3 linked regions of the Saccharomyces cerevisiae S288C genome follow. Each later gene encodes a partner of the first gene's protein in a complex. Each region holds a gene or a part of one and is shown on either strand. Other genes may lie near its edges.

Evidence for each region. The genes of interacting proteins can lie anywhere in the genome.
Region 2: MRPL51 (region 1) and MRPL23 share a complex: the UniProt entries of both Saccharomyces cerevisiae proteins name them as parts of the mitochondrial large ribosomal subunit.
Region 3: MRPL51 (region 1) and MRPL6 share a complex: the UniProt entries of both Saccharomyces cerevisiae proteins name them as parts of the mitochondrial large ribosomal subunit.

What each region holds. Positions count from the first base shown.
Region 1 is NC_001148.4:725,356-730,713, reverse strand, and holds MRPL51 (mitochondrial 54S ribosomal protein mL43 MRPL51), read right to left. Parts: upstream 924-5,358; coding exon 501-923; downstream 1-500. Other genes in the region: SNT309 (Snt309p), read right to left, coding at 1-222; YPR099C (uncharacterized protein), read left to right, coding at 601-957; TMH18 (Tmh18p), read left to right, coding at 1,186-1,232, 1,329-1,767; LEC1 (Lec1p), read right to left, coding at 2,099-5,320. UniProt on the Saccharomyces cerevisiae protein: Component of the mitochondrial ribosome (mitoribosome), a dedicated translation machinery responsible for the synthesis of mitochondrial genome-encoded proteins, including at least some of the essential transmembrane subunits of the mitochondrial respiratory chain.
Region 2 is NC_001147.6:610,209-612,990, reverse strand, and holds MRPL23 (mitochondrial 54S ribosomal protein uL13m MRPL23), read right to left. Parts: upstream 993-2,782; coding exon 501-992; downstream 1-500. Other genes in the region: SMP3 (glycosylphosphatidylinositol-alpha 1,2 mannosyltransferase), read left to right, coding at 1,603-2,782. UniProt on the Saccharomyces cerevisiae protein: Component of the mitochondrial ribosome (mitoribosome), a dedicated translation machinery responsible for the synthesis of mitochondrial genome-encoded proteins, including at least some of the essential transmembrane subunits of the mitochondrial respiratory chain.
Region 3 is NC_001140.6:392,139-395,229, reverse strand, and holds MRPL6 (mitochondrial 54S ribosomal protein uL6m MRPL6), read left to right. Parts: upstream 1-1,946; coding exon 1,947-2,591; downstream 2,592-3,091. Other genes in the region: SKG6 (Skg6p), read left to right, coding at 1-775; snoRNA-binding rRNA-processing protein IMP3, read right to left, coding at 1,145-1,696. UniProt on the Saccharomyces cerevisiae protein: Component of the mitochondrial ribosome (mitoribosome), a dedicated translation machinery responsible for the synthesis of mitochondrial genome-encoded proteins, including at least some of the essential transmembrane subunits of the mitochondrial respiratory chain.

The sequences.
Region 1 (5,358 bases):
CCTTTTTTTGTTATTACGTTGTTTCAAGTATTCGGTGTACAATGCATTTGTAAGCGTAGAAACACTATTATCGGCCCCCTTTCTCTTCGCAAGTATACCTCGTATTTCGGGATGAACAGGCTCTCTTTTTATATTCGCAAATTCCTTCTTTACTAATTGATCTATTTCATTTTTGTAACCATCTGGTATTTTCCCTTTATCAACAAAGCTAAGGCCGTCCATCAAATCTAAACGTTGAATACCGTACGGTTGCTCTTTCAGATATCCTAGAAGTTACATCTTTTATATGTTTCAGTCTTATTCCATATTTATTAGACTAGTGTGATTTGCAGGGTGTAAAGCGGGTAACCAAATACAAGAGGTCATATTTCAGGACATGATCATATAACAATGGCAAAATTGACTTTAAATCTTAAATATCAGGAGTCTTATCTGCCCCAAATTATATATACAAGTATAATTATCTCTCTCTATTTCTAGAATTTTCTTATATACTAAAGCTAAATTCTATGCCTTTTCGCAGCATGCAGAGGCGACCATATACCCCTCACACTACTGTTCAAGCTTTCCACGTTATCATTCTTTGTTCTTCTGCGTAAAATGTCTCCATCAGAATCCTTCAATAGCTTTAGCTTGTTTTCTACATTGTCAATGTTCAAGTTTCTCACACAAATAACTTTTTCACGCCCATTTGTGTATTCTGCCCTCAACAAAGGATGTCCAGACTTCCTCATCACTTCAAACTGTATCCATGGGAACTCCTGGCCCCATTTATCTAATCTCTTTGAAGTCAAAAATTTCCTCATGCCTTCCGAAGACCCTCCCCAGTTACAGAATTGCAAAGTAATCTTTCTGCATGGAAACACGAATGCTCCAACTCCATTACGACCTATGGAATTTCGTGCAATAGCTTTCACAACCATTTCTCCATATATTCGTGTCTGTGTATCTACTTAGTCATGGTTTATGATAATCGTATTGATTGATCTTTTTTATCTCAGGGCTTATGATTTGTTGTAATTCTTATGAGCATCCCTCATCCGAAAAAGACGGAAAGCACCGTAACGTATAGTGCGATAAACTTACAGAAAAGAATAGTATTATTTAAGGGAGTTAAATGGAGTTGTTTGATGATATAGGCAGATCAAACTACGCTTTACAGTCCAGTAAACTTAACAACGAAAAATGTGTTTAGTCAAAACTACGGCTCATTTGCTTTTTTATTCCTTTGTGTATGTACAGATTAAGACACAAGAAAAAATTTGAACAATTATGATTAATTGAGAATAACTGACTAACAACTTTTATGTACCAACTTAATCTTTCAGATTTGGAGGAACGACGTTTTATTCCTATGTAGCTTCTCCAATCGCATTCAAAGTTCTTGAAAAAGACCAATTTTCTGCTTTGCAAAATAAGATCTTCCCGTATTTTTTCCAAATGCAAGCGGCATCACCTGTCATCCTGGCCCTTACCGCTCCAATTGCCTTGACAACAGGACCATTATCTTCTTTGGTGGTTGCATCTGTCAGTGGGCTAACCAATTTGTTTTGGTTGTTGCCCTGGACCCATAAAGTTAAAGAACAAAGAAAGAATATTGCGAAGAAATACACGGGTAGTGAATTGGAAGCAAAGGATGCTATATTACGTAAAGAATTTGGCAAGTCGCACGGATTGAGTCTTTTGTTCAATCTTTCTAATGTTTGCGGGATGCTTGCGTACGGTGTTTGTTTGTCAGGTGGTTTGTTAAGAAAAATTCCAAAATAATTATTTTACAAGTAAATATATATATGCAAGATCATTTTTTCGTCATTCCTTTGCCAAGGTGGAGATGAAGTTCGCAATCGGAATTTTTTGACCCTCAATTAAAGAATAAGGGACTCAGTTCTCTGCTATCCTGATCTTGGCTAAAAATAACTAAAAGGGGAATTGTGCTGTTTGTAGGATCTTAAAATAAAAGAGAACAATATTTATCTTGAAGTTTTTTCTATTTTTTTATTTCTACAAGCTTTTCTTATATATAGACCTAGCAATCCTATATTATTAAGCCGGAAAATCGTAACGAATAAAAACGAATAAAGGAGATACTAGAAAGGGCCTACTTTTTAGCAATTTGAGCTTCTAAATAATTTTTTAATTCCTGTGCGAAAACTTGAGATCTCAATTTATCAATTTCACTTTCATCAACAACAAGATTCAATAAATCTTTGTATTGCTTTTCTAATTCAACTTCATTCTCTTTATGTAAAAAATCGTAATCACCTGTATCGAGATCCAAATCCACCAAATCACCATCTCCAAGTCCAAAAGATCCAGAGCTGGATGGCATAACCAAGGAGTTTATGTCACTCCAATTCTTTTGAAGTATGCCAGCAGCGTGTTTGTTATTTTGTTTAGTACCTTGTTTAACCTTCAAATCTAACAACTTCTTATAGATTTTTCTCGCACCAATCTTTTTATTAAGAACATTATTAACTTGAACTTTCAAAAGTTTGACATCAATATCGATATCATCTCTACAAATTAACTTATTGAAGTCGATCCTTTCACTCGGTCCTCCGAATTTACTCTTTTGCAAAAATTTCACTATCGTAGTAATCCAAGTAATAAAACCTTCAAAAATGCCCTCTGAATCGTTCAAATATACATCATGAATAAACTCAAAAAAGGCATCTTGATGTTTGGTTACTAAGTTATGGATTTCTTCCACGACATCGAACTGTGTGGAAACGCCCAACTGACCATTGATAACATCATCAACAAGCCTGATCAAATCACTCATGAACTTCTCAAAATTTTTCAAAGCAACATCCATCCTTGCAACTTTGAAGATCTTGACCATAGGTTCGTAAATCATAGTGACAATTGCCTTTAGCATTTGGGTTAACTCAGGATCTTGCCATAGCTGCCTCATTAGCTGTTTATCATGTTCTTTAATATACAATTGCCATAAATCTTTGACGTGTGTGAAATAAATACCTGACTGATCTTCGCTGGTTACATTCAAGGCATCCGTGTCTTCTTTTTGCAGTTTCCATGATGAATAGGATTCAATAAGTCCCGCGACAACCTCGTCTGGAATTAGATTTGCAGCTGCACTTTTCATTAATACTATCAATGGTACAGGCATGTTCATGGATTCGGATTCTGCATTTACTGCGTCCATAGTAAAGAGTTTAGTATCATGCTCATCCTTAGTATCATTATTAAAGACAAAATCCTTCAAGCATTTAGTCACAACTGAAGCGCCCGGGTCCATCTCAGCAATTTTCCTTTCTAATTCCTTTATAGCTACCTTTTGAGTTTTCAAATCATCTGTTAATATCGTAGAAAACATTGTTTGAAGGAGCGAATGACCACCGAAGGGTTGTGCCATAAATAATTCAATCATACCCCTCATGATCGCTATTGGATTAGTAAATTTCATGATCTGTCCCATTACTGTGTACGGCATAAGCTTATGTAACCGTCTTATTTGTGTATAGAGTTCATAACTGTTATCGTTACCCAGAAACATTTGATAAATCATTGAGGAAATATAAATCTTACACCATTCCACAAAGTCTTGTAAAAGTGGTGACAGGTCTTCAACTTTCGTATTGTCCTTGATTTCTACTAGTAGACTCATCAAGTATTTTTCATCTTTTAACAGGGATGTTTTGAAATCTTTCATTGAGTCTTGCAGCTTTAAAGACTTTTCTAACGCCATCTGTTGGAAACGTATTTGGTTCTCCAAATTACTTACATCTATCAGAGCCCTGTTTCTAATGTCATCTGCTATTTTCGGATTTATGTCCTTAATATCTAAATTAGGCCCACTTAGGAAGAAGCGACGAATAGATGAGCTTTGAGAAACCTCTGCATCTTTACACAAAGTCCTTAAATATTGTCTTAATGAAGTTCTCATTTTTTCACCCACCAAAGTATTGATTTTTGAATCGGATGCATCTTTATATTCATCAAAATCACTTTCTTCACCTTCACCTTCTTCCTCATACTCGTCCTCATCAATATTATCTTCTTCCTTGATCTCATTTAGAATATTTTTTCTCAACGTTTCAGTTTCTTTTTCTGTGAGTACTGTTTCTGTAGCAGATAATTCATTCGTTGTCTGTAAAAATGAAGAATTATCAGACTCTGATGCAGATTGTAAATCAGTGTCAAAAGTGTTGACGATTTTTTCCCTGGCTGCTGATTTAGTTTGCCCATTGTGTAACACTTCGGTTTTAGTTATCATAGACGTCACTTTTTTATTTCTATGAGGTAAGCGCGGACATTTCTTCCCCGGAAATTCTGATTTTAAATCATGAGATAGTTTTTTGAAGTCGCTGTATGTTCTTGTCACATAGAAATAACCAGCATGGTGATCAAGATTACTATTCTCTTCATTGCTGTTATCTTGGTCGTCGTCATCTTGCTTCTTAATCTTAATCAAGAAATAATGATGTTTTCTAGATTGCTTGCTCTTAGTTGAAGGCACGCCAAGGGATAATTTCGAAAATAAAGATGCTGAGGATTCGGGCATACTATTTATGGTACTGTTAATAGTGTTGTTGAAGGCATTCTTCATCCATTTAGAAGTGGAAGCAAATGATTTTATAGCATGGCTTTTGGGACTCGAAGTTGGAGTAGATTTACTAGACTTGTCATTATCCACACTTTCAGTACATTTCCGTGAATTCTTATTGAACACGGATATAATATTGACGTCCCAACCGTTAATAAAAACGGATTCGTTAGTGAGCAAATTCTCTAAATTTTCTCTAGTTGGCATTGCAAATTTCTCAATATTAGAGCGTTTTCTCGCTTGGCCTGACTGTAAAACGAATTTATCCTCATTATAATACGCTTGCTCTTGAAAAGAGCCAACACCGGAGTTAAAGAGCAACAAGATAACCTTTGATAGCTTTTTGGAAACTTTCTTCCTTTTTGAAGCTTCCTCCCTGTCATAACTTTCACTAAACCCAAGACTCATGAAATGTTCAAAGAACACTTGAACCTTACTCTGCCAGAATTTTTCATCAACTAGCAAATTTGTTGAAAGTAAAGGAAATGTGGATATAAATTCTTGCAAAACATAACTCAGCATGGGATAATTAACGCTAAAATGGCCTTTGCCACCGAGCACTGGTGATGAATCGTTATTGGAGATAGGCTGTGGAGCTGTCGGATCGTTTGGTGAGAAAGGATAACCGAACTTTCTCAAAGCAAACTGATCGTTAAGCTTTCCAATTTCATAATCCAATTGACATCGAAGCAGTTCCCTCTTCAGGTAGTGTTCTTCCGTTGGATTTAAAGCAGGAGTGTCTTGAGTAATCATTTGAAGACTGTCTATTTTTGATTCTTTAGTACAATTAT
Region 2 (2,782 bases), on another chromosome or scaffold:
ATGTTGTAACTCTAAGAAAGTAAAATAATAAAAAACATTTCATTTGTGCTGATCTTGCCAAAAAAAGGGTAAACAAGTAGGCAATAGTAATAAAATAAGAATGAAGCATTTCTTTTAATAAGCAGAGAGAACTTTCAAGCATTCAAAAAACACAAAAATAATGATGAATAAAATGGGACTCACAGTGTTTATTTATAGTCCTTGTTTCGCATTTTACCAAATTAAAATTTAATTTTATCAAGACATATTAATGAACTTTAGCGGAAAACCTTAAATATCCAAGTCATAAATAATGACTTATGTAAAAAGTTATAAGAAAAATATACGGTGTTCATTTTGGAACAATGTTGCTGTTACACACTGTTAAATATATTTAGTATTCATAAAAGAAAGAAGATTTTAATACGCGTTTTGATTAAAACTACATAACAGATAAATATATACATGGATTGAAGACTGCAAAAAGGATATATAAAAAAATGACAAATAATTTCAATAAGCTATTTCAATTGGTTAAAAATTGATTCTTTAAGAGGCTCTGGTATTGATGATTGCTCATGGGCAAAGGCAGTAATATTTTGTTTATAAGGGTTTTCACTTCCATCGAAAACTTTTAAGCGGTCTAACCGTTGCTTTCTCAATTTATTTTTAGGCAACATACCGCTAACTGCTTTTTTCAAAATTTCTCCAAATCCTTTATCGGCAACAACCTTGTTCATTGTCTGTAACTTTAGCTGACCAGGTCTACCTGAATGAGACCAGTAAGTCTTCTGCTCAAATTTCTTACCTGTTACACGGATTTTTTGGCAATTAGTCACTACTACGTAGTCTCCACAGTCTTGTGACGGATGATAGACCGGCTTATGTCTACCAATTAAGGTAATTGCAATTGCTGAAGCCAATCTACCCAATGTCCTCTTATCACGGGCAACGTCGACATGGTGCCAAAGGCGCGCAAAAGCCAAGCCACTGTGTCCAATCTTCTGCGACATGAATAGGCTATTGTTGATGCTGGTATTGCTTTCTTTTTCTATATGATATCAGTGTATTCATAAGGTCTTTCTCTTTTACTTATTTAGAACGTTTTAAAGATCTCTAAACTACAAGGAAGGCTCCATGCGGGTAACAATCAACATTATAACGATAATTAACTAAACCATAACCGTCTAAGTAACCATAGCGTGCGGTGATTCTTCGCTAGATGGAACTCATGTCTTACTAGTAGCGTGTTTGGTACGTGCAATATAGAGCAAAACATTATATAGACATCGTAATAGCTTTTTATGTGCGGACTGTAATGTTTGTAAGAAGTAAAACCAGTCACTAATATAGTGAAAAAAAGTCAACTTATCGATCTATGTATCTCATAGAAGATGTATTGATTTAATATAACTTATAAAGGTGCTTCTACAGTAAGGTGCTGAGAGGACTTACTATGTCGGCAACAAGTTCAAATCTGAAGCTCTGAGGATTTCGCGAGATGCGCACAATCTGAAGTAATATAAAGATGAAAACACAATACAAAAGGCCTGAAAATCTATATGTCCGATAAGATATCATAGTATTCTTACTCGCAAGCACACATCAGGTACTTGGAAGTGTATGATGAGGTATCAATGGTGGCTTTATTTAGTATATGCCATCGGCCTAATGCTATGCCTAGGCCCGTCGTATATTCATCCAGATGAACATTTCCAATGCATCGAGATTTTGGCTATGCAGTTCATGAAGGTCAAAGGTACCATCCCATGGGAATTTAAATCAAAATTTGCTGCTAGGAGTTACGGCCCCCTATTATTGGTTTACGGGCCTTTGTTCACTATTTTAGAATCTTTTCCCGAAATTCAGGACAACCCAGCGTTAATTCTGTATTCGATGAGACTACAAAACTATGTGATGTACCTATTGTGCTATCATTTTTTAATACCTAAATTAATAAGGGATGAGAGAAAGGCCGTACAATTCATCAAAAAAAGTCTACTTTTAACTTCTTACGTAACCTGGACGTACCAAACACACACGTTTTCCAATTCCATAGAAACGCTGGCTTTAATCTCAACTTTAACTGTAATGGAAGATATGGTAAACGAAAAAAATATTCAAAGAAGTAATTTCAAAAATTCGGTTATATTGGGACTTATATTTAGTTTTGGTGTTTTTAATAGAGTTACTTTTCCTGCATTTATTTTCTTACCATGTTTGATATTATTCTGGAAGTTTTACCGGGTCCATTGGAAATCCTTTTCTTTACTTTTACTTTCATTTTCATTTTCCTCGTGTCTATTTGTTCTTATTGATACAAATATTTATAACAACGGAAAGGGATTTGTCATTACGCCCTTGAATAACCTGAAATACAACCTCAATGTCCAAAATTTGCAAGTACATGGATTACATCCAAGATACACCCATCTGCTGGTCAATTTACCTCAAATAGTTGGCCCAGTATTGCTGCTAGCGATTTTTTCCGGTTACAAACTCGATAAATTATCTACTTACGCAATCATATCTGGCCTGCTTTTTCTTTCATTCTTTCAACATCAAGAATTAAGATTCCTTGTACCGCTAGTGCCACTACTCGTGACAAACTTAAACTGGACACCTCTGAGTTCCACGTTAGTAAACAAGAAAATTTTCAAGGGAACTTGGCTTCTTTTTAACATAATCATGGCGTTCATCATGGGAATTTCACATCAAGCAGGAATTATCCAATTTTTGGGAGATTACTTCCACTTTCGTACCGAACAAATGGGCGTTCACATATGGTGGAAAACATACTCAC
Region 3 (3,091 bases), on another chromosome or scaffold:
TTCCTCAATTTATTCCGAAGCAATTCAGCCGTTGAATTATCAGGATCAATATCAACAACAGGAACAATCACCAGTATATAATGGCCACACACAGTATCCTGGCAATGGATATAGCGGAAATCCTCAGCAACAGGGGTATACTGCGCAATTCGTGCAAAATCCACAATGGTACGGTGTACCAACTCCTCAACAACAGCAACATAATCATCCTCAGACCCTGGAAACTATTGGAGAATTACCAACTCCCGCATATTTAGCTCAATCAGCTTCCTCGCATTCATTGACCTCTTTTAAAAGACCAAACAAGCAACAACTTCTTCAATTACAGACTGCCAGACTAAACGGAACTGCGTTAAATCCGGTCGATCATCCGGAAATGTTTTATTCACCGACAAACGATGCCTATTATGCTCCACAGCAGCAAGGCCAATATATGAAGTTTAACGAAAATGGGGCGGTTCCTTCACCTTATCAACTTAGACAAAGTGTGGTAATGACCAATCCTTCGGATTTGACGGCAAAACCATCTTATAAGCCAGCAGGTTCTTTCAGAAGTGTAAGCGCAACCAATTCAAGAAATAACAGTCTGACCACACAAAATAATATCTATCTGCAACAGCAGCAGCAGCAACTGTATAATTCTCGTGTTAGTGGGATATTAGAAGAGACAGATGTTGTACAGCCACCAAGTGTTGGTGGAATTTTGCCACATAGTGGTTCACAGGACGATTTAAGAAAACAATTAGGCTCTTCACATAATTATACCGTCAACTGAAGTGTAGATAATGAACGGACAATTATCGGATATATAAATTGATGTTTTATTGGAGAAATTTTACAAATTGCGTATTTATACAAATTAATTTATGTTAAATAGGATTTTTTCGAAGTGTATTTTTAAGTTTTAAGGCATATTTAACAAATGACGCCGATGAGAAATTGTTTTGCGGTTTTTCTTATTTTTGCATACGACGAAGAAGTTCCTTTGTGTATATAACAATTTTTCATGCTTCCAGCTTTTAAGAAAGCTCAGGCGCCTCACATCATTTGTATTTGCTGCCTCGTTGCCTATTCGTAATAATTTCACAATGTAGGAAGATGATAAATCGAGTATTGATACAGAAAACGTAAGTTTGTAGTCAATTTATGAAAAATCAAAATCGTCGATTTGGTTTCTGTATCTCAACAAGGTTTTCTTGATCTTAGAGTTGTCCACCCAAGTAACGTAGTCCTCCATATTTCTCGTTACGAGGTAGGCTGGATCGTTGATCAAATTTGGACCCACGCGAACATGCCCTTGTTCAATGAACTTGACTGCATCTTGTATAGTTTCCGCCATTTTTAATCTATGCATTATTACAGGTAATCGCCTCCTACAGATGGCACTAACAGTAACTTTATTTTCCAGATCAGAAATCTTTGATTTAGTTGTCAGGACACCCATAGCGTATAGCTTGTCCAGTAATAATTGCTCATGTTTGCGACGAAATGGATCAGTGGGAGGTAATAATGATAATTTATTGGCAAGACGACGAATATCACCGCATATCCTATTGTATTTATGATAATCTTCACGATTCTGAATATGATATGTTCTCATGACCTGAGTGTCCCGGTGGCCTTGGTCCTGCTTCCATTCAAGGAAGTCTACTTTTTTCAATAACTTTTGCTCATGATGCTTTAGTTTTCTAACCATTATTGGTTGTGATTATGCCTGGTGGTTTATCTATTTAGAACGTTCTATATTACTTATCCCATTGAATTTTTGTTGCGATGAGCTTATATCAGTGAAATTTTTTTCACTGGAAGTAGAGGGTAATGAAAGGCGAGCGGAAATAGCGAGGAGACGCTACGGTTATAGAGGAAGAATATCAAATACTAGTAAGTAAGGGAAGATCACGCAATAAAGCTATCGCAAATCTTACTATAGGAATTGAGGCCAACCTATGTCATTTATTCAGAGGAGGTTATTGTCGCAAACACTTTTTCTGCGCTCTCAAGTGGGGTCTTTACCACTTTATATATCTCCTGAAGTTCAGGTTTCCATAAATGCATTATCCATGCCCAGGATTATCAGAAAAGGTAGAACTTCAATGAATATATCACAGAATATCACAGTAAAGGGACCCAAGGGTGAATTGTCCGTGGAGGTCCCTGATTTTTTGCACTTGGACAAGGATGAAAAGCACGGTAAAATAAATGTTACAGTTCAGAATTCAGAAGATAAACATCAACGTTCGATGTGGGGTACAGTAAGATCACTTATAAATAATCACATTATAGGTGTTACTGAGGGGCATCTTGCTGTCCTTAGATTTGTAGGGACAGGTTATAGAGCTCAATTAGAAAATGATGGTAAATTTGTCAACGTTAAGGTGGGTGCATCTATCAAACAAGGATTGGACGTTCCTGAAGGTATTGTTGTCAAAACACCTGCTCCCACGTCTCTGATTATTGAAGGGTGCAATAAGCAGCAGGTCCTTCTTTTTGCTGCCAAATTGAGAAAATTCCATCCACCAGAGCCGTATAAAGGCAAAGGAATATACGTTAACGATGAAACAATAAAGCTAAAGGACAAGAAAATCAAATAACTTCAGGATTTCAGTTATTTTCGTACTCATTTTCGTAATTTTTTTTATGACATGTATCTTTTCTTATACTTTATAGGGAATACCTTGTAAATATCCTATGAAAATAACTTAAATGAAATTTATATTGGTTATTAATGCGGTGACGTGTTCTTGCTTGGTAAACATTTTGGTGTTCAATGAAACTCTTGGCTTGCAACCTTTAATATATACTAGTTTCACGGAATATGAACGCAATAAGTAAGGCCACAGAAGTTCGAACCTTACCTTTCATTTTATACAGTTTCGAAAAGGGAACACCATTTAGACTAGAAACCAAATATCCTCTTTAACGTTCTGCTAATGCTATATATTTTTTGATTCCAACGCTAATAAAGATTTTTTTTCTTGAGTACTTTTCATGTTTTGTTGTAGAGAGCCCATTTAAAACAAAGATGTTTACCAGAAAACAAAAGAAAAGATCAAATAAGTGAGTAAATGAAATGCTGTACCTTCCAATTTCT